Danio rerio: one gene and its partners. The protein of the gene in region 3 purifies or fractionates together with the protein of the main gene of each other region. This does not show direct contact. Links are inferred from orthologs where the notes say so. Each region holds a gene or a part of one and is shown on either strand. Other genes may lie near its edges. The genes, in order: clcn3, flvcr1 and tmem9b.

What was found.
Region 1: the proteins of tmem9b (region 3) and clcn3 purify together in Homo sapiens (co-immunoprecipitation; 3 studies listed by BioGRID and IntAct, counting the BioPlex papers as one, with this or other methods). This does not show direct contact. The link is inferred for Danio rerio from reciprocal best matches to the Homo sapiens genes TMEM9B and CLCN3.
Region 2: the proteins of tmem9b (region 3) and flvcr1 purify together in Homo sapiens (co-immunoprecipitation; 3 studies listed by BioGRID and IntAct, counting the BioPlex papers as one, with this or other methods). This does not show direct contact. The link is inferred for Danio rerio from reciprocal best matches to the Homo sapiens genes TMEM9B and FLVCR1.

Annotation. Positions count from the first base shown.
Region 1 is NC_133182.1:7,339,450-7,343,210, reverse strand, and holds the start of clcn3 (H(+)/Cl(-) exchange transporter 3), read right to left. Parts: upstream 2,491-3,761; 5' UTR 2,349-2,490; intron 1-2,348.
Region 2 is NC_133195.1:41,124,364-41,128,024, reverse strand, and holds part of flvcr1 (heme transporter FLVCR1), read right to left. Parts: intron 1,568-3,661; coding exon 1,464-1,567; intron 1-1,463.
Region 3 is NC_133182.1:28,600,992-28,604,752, forward strand, and holds the start of tmem9b (transmembrane protein 9B precursor), read right to left. Parts: upstream 2,861-3,761; 5' UTR 2,690-2,860; coding exon 2,591-2,689; intron 2,315-2,590; coding exon 2,223-2,314; intron 2,112-2,222; coding exon 2,003-2,111; intron 1-2,002. UniProt on the Homo sapiens protein: Enhances production of pro-inflammatory cytokines induced by TNF, IL1B, and TLR ligands. Has a role in TNF activation of both the NF-kappaB and MAPK pathways.

The DNA of each region.
Region 1 (3,761 bases), about 21 Mb from region 3:
TTAAAATTCAAATCTCACAACTGAATTCTGAATTAAAATAGCACTAAAACCTGTACAATAGTCACTAAAATAGATATTAAAATAAAAAAAACCTCAAAATAAACAAACACCATCAACATAACGAAGACAAAACTGAAGCTTTACCTAAAAATATACATGTCCCTTCACAAAAAACAGCACTGAAATCAGTTCATACAGTCACTAAAAGCTATATGAACATTATGAACATGAACACTAAAGCTGAAATAAACAAACAATCGCCATCATCAAGATAAAACAGAAGCTTTAACTAAAAATCTACATCTCACTTCACAAAATTAACACTGAAAATAGACATTAAAATAGAAAAAGATCAAAATAAACAAACATCATTACCAACATTAATGTACAACAAAAATGTTTAACCAGAAATCTGCATCTCAATACTGGACTCTGAATTAAAAATAGCCCTGAAATAAGTTCAAGCAGTCACTAAAATAGACATTAAAATGACAAAAATCTCAAATAAACAAACATCATGAATATAAAACGAAAGCTTAACTAAAAATCTACATCTTCACTGAAATAGCCCTGTAATCAATTTATAAAGTCATTAAAATAGACATTAAAATAGACAAAGATCAAAATAAAAAAAACATCATCACCATCATTAATGTACAAGATACAGGTTCAACCAAAGATCTGCATCTTACTAATGGACCCTGACTTAAAAGTAGCACCGAAATCAGTTCAAACAGGCATTAAAATGGACATTAAAATATAAAAACGTCCAAAAATAAAATATAATAACCATCATAAAGATAAAACAGAATCCTTAACTAAAAATCTACATCTCTCTTCACAATAAGGCCCTGAAATCAGATCAAACAGTGATTAAAATGAACATTAAAATATAAAAAGCTCAAACAAACAACATAATCACCATCATGATGTAAAAGAAATGGGTTTAACCAAAACTCTGCATCTCAATACTGGACTCTGAATTAAAAATAGCTCTGAAATGAGTTCAAACAGTCACTAAAATAGACATTAAAATGACAAAAATCTCAAATAAACAAACATCATCATCATGAATATAAAACATAAGCTTAACTAAAAATCTACATCTCTCATCTCACAAAAAAACAGCCCTGAAATCAGTTCATAGAGTCAATAAAAATAGACATTAGAATAGAAAAAGATCCAAACAAACAAACATCATGACCATCATTAATGTACAAGAAACAGGTTTGATCAAAAATCTGCATCTTACTAATGGACCCTGACTTAAAAGTAGCACCGAAATCAGTTCAAACAGGCATTGAAATATAAAAACCATCATTAAGATAAAACCAAAGCTTAACTAAAAATCTACATCTCTCACCTCACAAAAAATAGCCCTGATATCAGTTTATACAGTCATTAAAATAGACAAAGATCAAAATAAATAAACATAATCACCATCATGGTGTAAAAGAAATGGATTTAACCAAAAATCTGCATCTCAATACTGGACTCTGAATTAAAAATATGGAAAAATCTACAAATAAACAACATCATCGCCATCCTTAATATAAAACAAACAGGTTTAACCAAAAATACGCATCTCACTACTGAATTCTGAATATAAAATAGCATTGAAATAGATTCATACAGTCATTACATAGAAATAAAATAAAAATTAAAAAATAAACAAATATTATCAGCATAACGAAGATAAAACTGAAGCTTTAAATACAAATCTACATCTCACATCACGAAAAATAGCCATGAAATCAGTTCATACAGGCATTAAAATAGACATTAAAATATAAAAAGCTCAAATAAACAACATAATCACCATCATGAAGTAAAAGAAATGGGTTTAACCAAAAACTCTGCATCTCAATACTGGACTCTGAATTAAAAATAGCCCTGAAATCAGTTTATAGTCACTAAAAATAGACATAAAAATGACAAAAGCTCAAATAAACGAACAGCATCACCACCACCATCATCATTATGAAGAAAAAACAGAAGCTTTCACTAAAAATGTACACTTTACTTCACAATAAAGCACTGAAATCAGTTTATACAGTCATTAAAATGGAAAAAGCCTAAATAAACAAACAGCATCACCCTATCACCATCATCATGAGGATGAAAGAGAAGCTTTGACTAAAAATACATCTCACATTTTGAAATTCTGCGTAAACAAATTTGACTTTAAGCAAATAATACACTCATTAAAACAGAGCCACAGGACTGTATGTGGCTGTAGAGCAACATGTTTAAGTGTTTATCATAAACCCGAGTCAGACAGCAGCTGACAGGTGCTCGCTGGGTTAAATGTGATGCTGTTCCTCGCACACAGATGTTCTTGATCTTACCTCTGCGATGCCTCGAAACGAGCTCTGAAACCGCGGATCATCCCAGCAGCACAAACCCAACACGAGGACGCATTTTATCCTCCGTTTGTGCCTGTGTTTTTCTGCTCCGCTAACGCTTATTTTGGCCCATTCCTGTGTCTGTGACGTGCACTTCCGGTGTCGCTCCGCCAGCAGCAGGAATTCAGATCCGATTCATTCGACTTGTTTAATTAAACGTAACGTTAAATCAACCGGAGAACGACGGTGTAAATAACAGTCTCTGAATTAAACATGTGATAATTACACATAATTAAAAATAACATGTCTAAAATGTGGGTTATGTCACAGTACAATAACGAACGGGTATTTAATAATAATTAAAAACAACAAATCAGGTAGTGACGTGTGTGTGTATATATATATATATATATATATATATATATATATATATATATATATATATATATATATATATATATATATATATATGGAAAAAGCTCAAATAAAGCTAAACTATTATTAAAAATAATATATATATATATATATATATATATATATATATATATAATATATATATATATATATATATATATATATATAAATAATAAAAAAATATATATATATATTTATTATTATTTTTAATAACACTACATTGTGACATCTTGTATATAATATATAGTGTAATATAAATATAAATTTATAAGTGCAAAGTAAATTATCTAAGGCAATAAAGAAATTATGCTAGAAAAAATTAAAACAAAATAAAATAACAAGCAACCATAAAAAAAATCATGTATTATAAAATTAAAAAGAAATTAAATAAAGGAATAAATTGTGCAAATAGCAATAACAACAAATGTATACAATTTATATAACACTTGTGATATTTTCCTATCAAAATATTGTCATATTATTATTATATTTAAACATTGATATTAAGAGTTTCATATAAAATATTAATTGAATAAAATCAATTAAGATTTTTACAAAATACAAGTTTAAAAATAAATCAATAAGTTATTAATAATGCATTGAAATAGTGATAAAAATTAAAGTAAAATAATTATAATACATATAAATTAAAACAAAACAGTATAAAAATAAATGTATAATTAATTGTTATAATATTTTTAATCATAATAGTGTTCTAATGTAAATATACATTATATTTATTATTAATTAAAATAATGCTAAATTAAAGTAGGGTAAGGCAGTGGCGCAGTAGGTAGTGTTGTCGCCTCACAGCAAGAAGGTCGGTGGGTCGCTGGTTCGAACCTCTCCTCAGTTGGCGTTTCTGTGTGGAGTTTGCATGTTCTTCCTGCCTTCGCGTGGGTTTCCTCCGGGTGCTCCGGTTTCCCCCACAGTCCAAAGACATGCGGTACAGGTGAATTGGGTAAACTAAATTGGCCGTAGTGTATGAGTGTGTGTGAATGT
Region 2 (3,661 bases), on a different chromosome or scaffold from region 3:
AATTCCTGGAGTGCCGAAGTCCTGCACAGTTTAGTTCCAACCCTGCTCCAACACACTTACCTGTAGGTTTCAAACAAGCCTGAAGGACTCGATTAGTTTGATCAGGTGTGTTTAATTAGGGTTGGAACTAAACTGTGCAGAGCTGCAGCCCTTTTGGAACTGAGTTTGACACCTGTGAGCTAGTCCTTCCAATGATTTATCACTAAATATTGGCTCAAGTTGATATGGTTTAATCAACTCCATTAGAAACTGAAATTCAATAACTCTTAAGACCTTTTCTAAGACTATTACCGTGCAGAGTTCCCTATTAAAGGAGGGATTTATAGAGCTGCACAATGTCTCATATATCGCATTGTGTGCATCCACAAGTCACATCGCAACATATGCAATGTTGAGTCTGATTATAGATGACCATAGGTTAAAACACAGGATATTTCGGGAGTCACTGCATAATTCAACCACAATAGACTGAAAGTTTATCATCTGCATGTGTTTTTAGTATTGTAAGAGAGTTTAAAACATTTGAATAGAGCATAAAGAAGTTTAATGAAGATTAGTTTTATTTAATTATTTATATGATGAAGACTATGCAGTGTTATTTTACATTTGATTATTAAATTTCTGTACTGAATATAGTTACTCTCTCCAGAAAACCATAAAGCATGGTTTATTTCACTTTGAGATTTGCTCCATTGTGTTTATTTATGGCTGTAGTTGGTTTATTATATGTACAGTTAAAGTCAGAATTATTACCCCTCTTAGGTTTCACCTTAAAATGGTGTTTAAATAAAAAGGGGCAGCACAGTGGTCCAGTGGGTGGCACAATTACCCCACAACAAGAAAGTTGCTGGTTCGAGCCCTGGCTGGGGCAATTGGCATTTCTGTGTGAAGTTTGCATGTTCTCTCCGTGTTCAAGTGGGTTTCCTCCAGGTGCGATGAATGAATGAATAAAAAATTTAAAACTGCTTTTATGCTAGCTGAAATAAAACAAGAATCCCCAGAAGAAAATTTCCTTGCTCTGTTAAACATCATTTAAAAAAATTCAAAGGGGGCTATTAATTCTGAAAAAAATAAATGACAAAAACTATATTTATATTTCACTTCTCTACAGAATCATCCCACTCAATATAAAGTAATGCCTTAGCAAATAGAGCTATTTAAGTAATCTGATTAAATTGTATTTATATCGCATTATATAGAAAAAAAATTGCAATGTAAAATGTTTCCAATATCGTGCAGCCCTAATTTAAAATTAATGAAACTTTGAGCAAATCGTTTGAGATTCTTTAAATGAGAAGATGTGAAATATATAGTTGTTTTTTGACCTTGGATGCATGTACAGTAAACCTATTGTAGGAAACCTCCAAAACAAAACTAAGAACCTTTAAAATAGCATAATAGGGCACTTTAAATTACAAGCAAACGATTAAAAGATAAAATCCACCTGTTCAGCATATACTTACTTATAGGTTTTAGTACGATCCAGCCAGATTCCACAAAGTATGGAGCCAAACATTCCAGCCACCACCAAGGTCAAGCCGATTCTGCCTGTGTTTAGCTCCTCACCCTAAAACAACAAGTTTGTATAAGATTAAAAGGTGTTTTAAAGTGTGTAACTTAACATTTCAATCATTTTTCAAACATGTTAGCCTTGATCTTAAGACTTTATATTAGAAGCTTACAAAAGCAAATTCATTAGGGCTCCAGTTGAAACCAGCAGCTGACAGTGTGTCCACCAAAGAAAACAAAGTGAAAACACCTAGCAGTGCATGCTTGATTTGAATAAGTTGAGATGTTTTGGTAGATATGATATACAGTTGAAGTCAGAATTATTAAACTACCTGAATTATTAGCACCCCTGTTTATTTTTTCCCCAATTTCTGTTTAATGGAGAGAAGATTTTTTCAACACATTTCTAAACATTAGTTTTAATAACTCATTTCTAATAACTGATTTATTTTATCTTTGCCATGATGACAGTAAATAATATTTGACTAGATATTGTTCACGACACTTCTATACAGCTTAAAGTGACATTTAAAGGCTTAACTAGGTTAATTAGGTTAACTAGGCAAGTTATTGTATAATGATGGTTTGTTCTGTATTCTATCAAAAAATATATAGCTTAAAGGGGCTAATAAATTTTGACCTTAAAATGTTTTTTTTTTTTTTTTATCAAAAACTGCTTGTATTCTAGCCGGAATAAAACAAATAAGTCTTTCTCCAGAAGAAAAAATATTATCAGACATACTGTGAAAATTTCCTTGCTCTGTTAAACCTTATTTGGGAAATATTTAAAAAGGAAAAAAATGTTCAAAGGGGTTTAATAATAATGTAAAAAGTTTAATAATTCTGACTTTAACTGTAAAATACCTATGGATACTGTTAATAACTACCCTTCCTACACTGTGATTGGAAAGTTGGCTAAAAAGGTGAAAGTTATGAGCAATTATTTTTACCTAAAGTTGATCACTGGCACTAGCTGACACTAAATTTGTGACGCAAGCATTTGTGATTAAAAAGCTTTTTATTTAATTTTTTATTTTTTAAAGAAAAAGCCAGACTTTTTTGCTATATAAAGCCATTATTCCTTGGCTGGGACCATGTAAAGCTCTCTGAAGCTGCACTGTACCTGCAATTTACAAGTTCAAACTACTGAGCACCCTAGAAATCAACTATATGAAGAAAACATCCTAGGGCGTTTTCCTCAAAAACTGAATTTCTTTTCAGTAGAAAAAAGAAGGAAATTAACATCTTGGATGACAAGTGGGTGAGAATTTATAAAGATTTTTATTCTGTATCTTTTTAAAACCAATGCTCCCATTGAGACCAAATGGAAAAATGTGCTACCCTTGGTTGAAAAAAGCATTGGTGGGTGCACAGCCCTAACAAAGAAAATTCTGTATAAAAAATGTCAAAACAATTCTTGCTTACCTAGACCTATTTAAATAATTAAAAACAGTGTTATATAGTACAGGTCAGTAGCTGGCGAAGCAAATTTGCGAATGAAACACTACAAACCTGTGCACATACTCTCTTGTGTAATCAACCATTATTGTTTTAGTTGTCAAGTATTCATGCAGTCTGATAGTATGAACACATCATACCCATGAGAATGACGTCACAAAATCATGCTATTGTAGTTTACACAGAGACCACAATAACTGCAATAATAATAAACTGCAGAGGTTTGCAAAGAAATTAAGCCATAAATATGATCAAACAATCAAAATCTTCATTGTGTATGACAAAAACGCAAAAAGAAATGAGGTTATGTTGAGGTTAAGTTTAGATAAAAGGTACAAAACTGTGCGTTATAATAACAGATTAAAGAAAATATACATGAACATAAAATATGGGTAACACTTTAAAATAATGGTCCATTAGTTATTGTTAGTTCATGTATTTAATAACGTGAACAAACAATTCATTACACTTTTATTACGTATTTATTAATCTTTGTTAACATTAGCTAATGTTATTTAAGTTAAATACCATTAGTTCATGTTAACTAACGGTGCTTTAACTAATGTAAACTTTGGAATTTAATAATTCATAAGTAAATGTTGAACCATGAATCATGAATGCTTTACAAGATTATTCATATTTAGTAAATGTTAGTAAATACATAGACTAACATTAGCCAATGGAGCATCATTCT
Region 3 (3,761 bases):
GATCTTATGGTCAGAGAGTGTGAGTTGCTTTGAATAGAAATGTCTGCTGAATACTTAAAGTAGATCAAAACCTTTCAAGTAGTCCTAATACTATTCAATCAACAACAAAACTTTTTTTAAATCCACTTCTAATTTTGACTATAAAGTATGGACAAAATAAAAGCAGCAGCACGAGTGGTCTTCAATGAACCTAAAAGAGCACGTGTCACTCCGCTGCTAGTCCGTTTGCACTGGCTGCCAGTTGCTGCTCGCATCAAATTCAAAGCTCTGATGTTTGCCTACAAAGTGACTTCTGGCCTTGCTCCTTCTTATCTGCTCTCACTTCTGCAGATCTATGTGCCCTCCAGAAACTTGCGTTCTGTGAATGAACGTCGCCTCGTGGTTCCATCCCAAAGAGGGAAGAAATCACTTTCGTGAATGCTCACGCTCAATCTGCCCAGTTGGTGGAATGAACTCCCTAACTGCATCAGAACAGCAGAGTCACTCGCTATTTTCAAGAAACGACTAAAAACTCAACTATTTAGTGTCTCCACTTCACTTCCTAATCTGCAATTGCCTCTCTGGATATACCACTAACTGTACCAAAAAAAAAAGAAAAAAAATACTAATGCTTTCCTTCTTAGACTTTACAGACCTGAAACTTGCCTATAGCACTTATTCATTGTTGCTCTTATAGTTGTGTAAATTGCTTCCTTGTCCTCATTTGTAAGTCGCTTTGGATAAAAGCGTCTGCTAAATGACTAAATGTAATGTAATGTAATGTAAAAAGTCTATAGTTTCATTTCATATTATGCTCTATAATGTATTTTATGGTGTCACACAAGCTTAAAGGTAGTAAATGAAGGAGAGTCTAGGCACTCTCAAACATCAAAGATCAAAAAGACACCAGCGACAATTGAGTGATAAGTTTACTAAAGTAAAAAAGGCAAATGTTTTGGTTAGGGGGTGCAGTGAGTTTTTGCTTGTTTTTTTGACAAGCTAGAAGGTACAACATTTACATTTTGCATTCCATTTAACAATCCTTTATTTAGGGTGACTGTAATCATTTTGTGAAGAGTTTTAAATTTCATTCATTTTTAATTGACATTCCTACATTCGTAATCAAACATTACCCAGGAAAAAATAAACACACATGAAATGAGTACATTTTTAGGTGTATAGACCATTTTGATAGAGGTAAACCATAATAATGGTCCTAACCTGTTTTCTGTTTTACATTTTTTAATTACTAAAGCTACAAAGTATCCAAAAAGGTCCACATATTGATAAATAATGTTAGATTTTTAACATTTCATATGATTGAATTGGTACTTTGTACGAGCAGTAAATGTTCGAGGGCCAGTGACATCGCCACATTGGAATGGTCTTTACCAGGGGTGTCCAAACTCGTTTCTGGAGAGCCGGTGTCCTGCATAACTTAGCTCCAACACATCTGCCAGGAAATTTCTAGTATATCTAGTAAGAGCTTGATTAAATGGTTCAGGAGTGTTTAATTAGGGTTAGGCTAAACTCTCGAGAACACCAGCCCTCCAGGAGTGAGTTGAGACACCCTTGGTGTATATAATATAAAATGTAAAAAAAAAAAAAAAAAACGGTCATTTCCATGTTACTATACAAAAACTATAAATTGGTTAAATTTATAGAAAAACAACTATTATGACCTGCATAAAGAGCTGAGATGCAAAAGCCTCCAAGTCCCACCTAAAATGAGCATTTTTGTAAGACTCCTGTGTGCAAGTTTGGTTATTTCACCTTTATGGTGATGAACAGGATATTTTTATTGCTTTTAAAGTGAAATAACTGAACAAGAACCTAAGTTGAAATAAATACTCATTTTAGAAGTAAAACTCAGATGAAACATAGTATATTTACCCTGTTATCAGAATATGAGGTGAATTATATTGTGATATGAGATTTTTTGTCATATCGCCAAGCCCTCTCTCTAAATTCCCTGTCTCCATGCATTTCAATTTGTCATGTCATGTAAACAAAATGAACTTACTTTGATAGTTCCAGAGCTCCTTTCTTCATATTTGCATTCACAGCGTAAACAGTATGCCTCCACATCCTTGCCTTCAACGGGCATCGGCTCCACCACATGAAGGCAATTACTGTGCATATCAATATATTCAGAGGTTATGGATCAGTGAACAGAGGGTCAAAGAGTTAGTTTATAACTGAAAGTACTGTAGACTCGCTTAAAGCCTTAGTAAATTATTTACCAGTCTTTCAAGGAAACGTTTTGATTGTAGATCTTCCCATCTACCTCTTTGTAGGGTGGACAGATGCATTTGCACCGGATATCTTCCGAATTCTGATGAAACCAATCCAAAGGCATAAGCTTGCATATATACATTAATAAATGACTAAGTCAAACCACACGTTTATGAGCACTAAAAACACATTTTACATCGTTTGAAGTCAGAAAAGCGTTGCATTTTTAATGATGCAACGTTACGTGTGCTTTTATTTCACATACACTACCACATGCTAATAGCTAGTTAGCATTGCCCATAACATCAGTACGCGCCGAAGAGCACAAAGTATTATTTTCGTGTATTACAATAAAGCGGGAAAAATGATACTTTACCTTAGCTTCTGATGTTTGTGCGGACAATAAAAGCAGAAAACATAGCAACGATGAAAACGTCAACAAATTGACAGCGGCTCTGTGGGTCAGTCGATACATCTTTCTCGCTTCAGTTCTAAAGATTGCTGTCAAACGCCGAAGAGAGATATTCTCGGAATTACGACTAAACAAATATTCGTTTAGCAATTCATGCAATTGTTAGACGTCTTTTCCTAGAAATAAAAGACAACAAAACAACGCGTGAGGGCTGGTCTGACACATCAGCTGACCGTCAGCTGCGGTCCGCAGATTCTCACTTCCTTCCGGAAACAAGTGAATGGGAACTAATGTTCTGCGAGATTGAGCATGTCCGTTTACTAATAACAAGATTTAGGTTACAAATGTTTCCACAAAAGAGTCGTATTTGGGTTCATTCCAGTCATGTGTTTCCTGCATGATGCATTTAGGTCATGGCTCAGTTCCAGGTTTCAATATGAAAATGTGTTCATACATCGATGTATGTAGGTTTATTTTCCCTTTTGATCATATAAAACGACTTAAAGTATTAAAATACAGATTTTATTAGTATTTTACACACATACATGCATGTCCACGTAAAAAGGGCTGGGCAAAAATACATTAAAATGTATTTTAAAATAAAATACCAAATACCTTTAGATTTAGGTGTATCAAAATAAACTACAAAAGACCGCAGCCACAACTTGTATCAAAATGAAATACTGTATTTTTGTATTTTAAAAATACTACAAAATACTTTTACAAGAGAGCATGACATTTCTTTGCAAACCTTCAATCAATTGGCATATTTGCTCAATCCCTTCACCATTGAACTGACTTTACCATTTTAGCATAAATGGTGTACAATTTCATACAGAAAGTCCTGTGTTTAAGAGGATCTCTTTATGTAAAAATCATGTCATGCATATAAAAAGTTGAAACATAGTACTGTATCTCTTCATTCTGTTTCCATCTATTGCATAGCCGGAGAATGACTATGTGCTGAAGACTCCACATCCTGTTCTTTAGGACTAATATTTTATTCCATCTCATTTCATAAGCAAAGATGCTGATGCCAAATTGTACACTATACTGCCATTATATATTACTGGTCTGAGCAGTGTGCAGTATACTATTTTCAATGATTGCTGACTTTTGTTGCCATTTGTCTGCT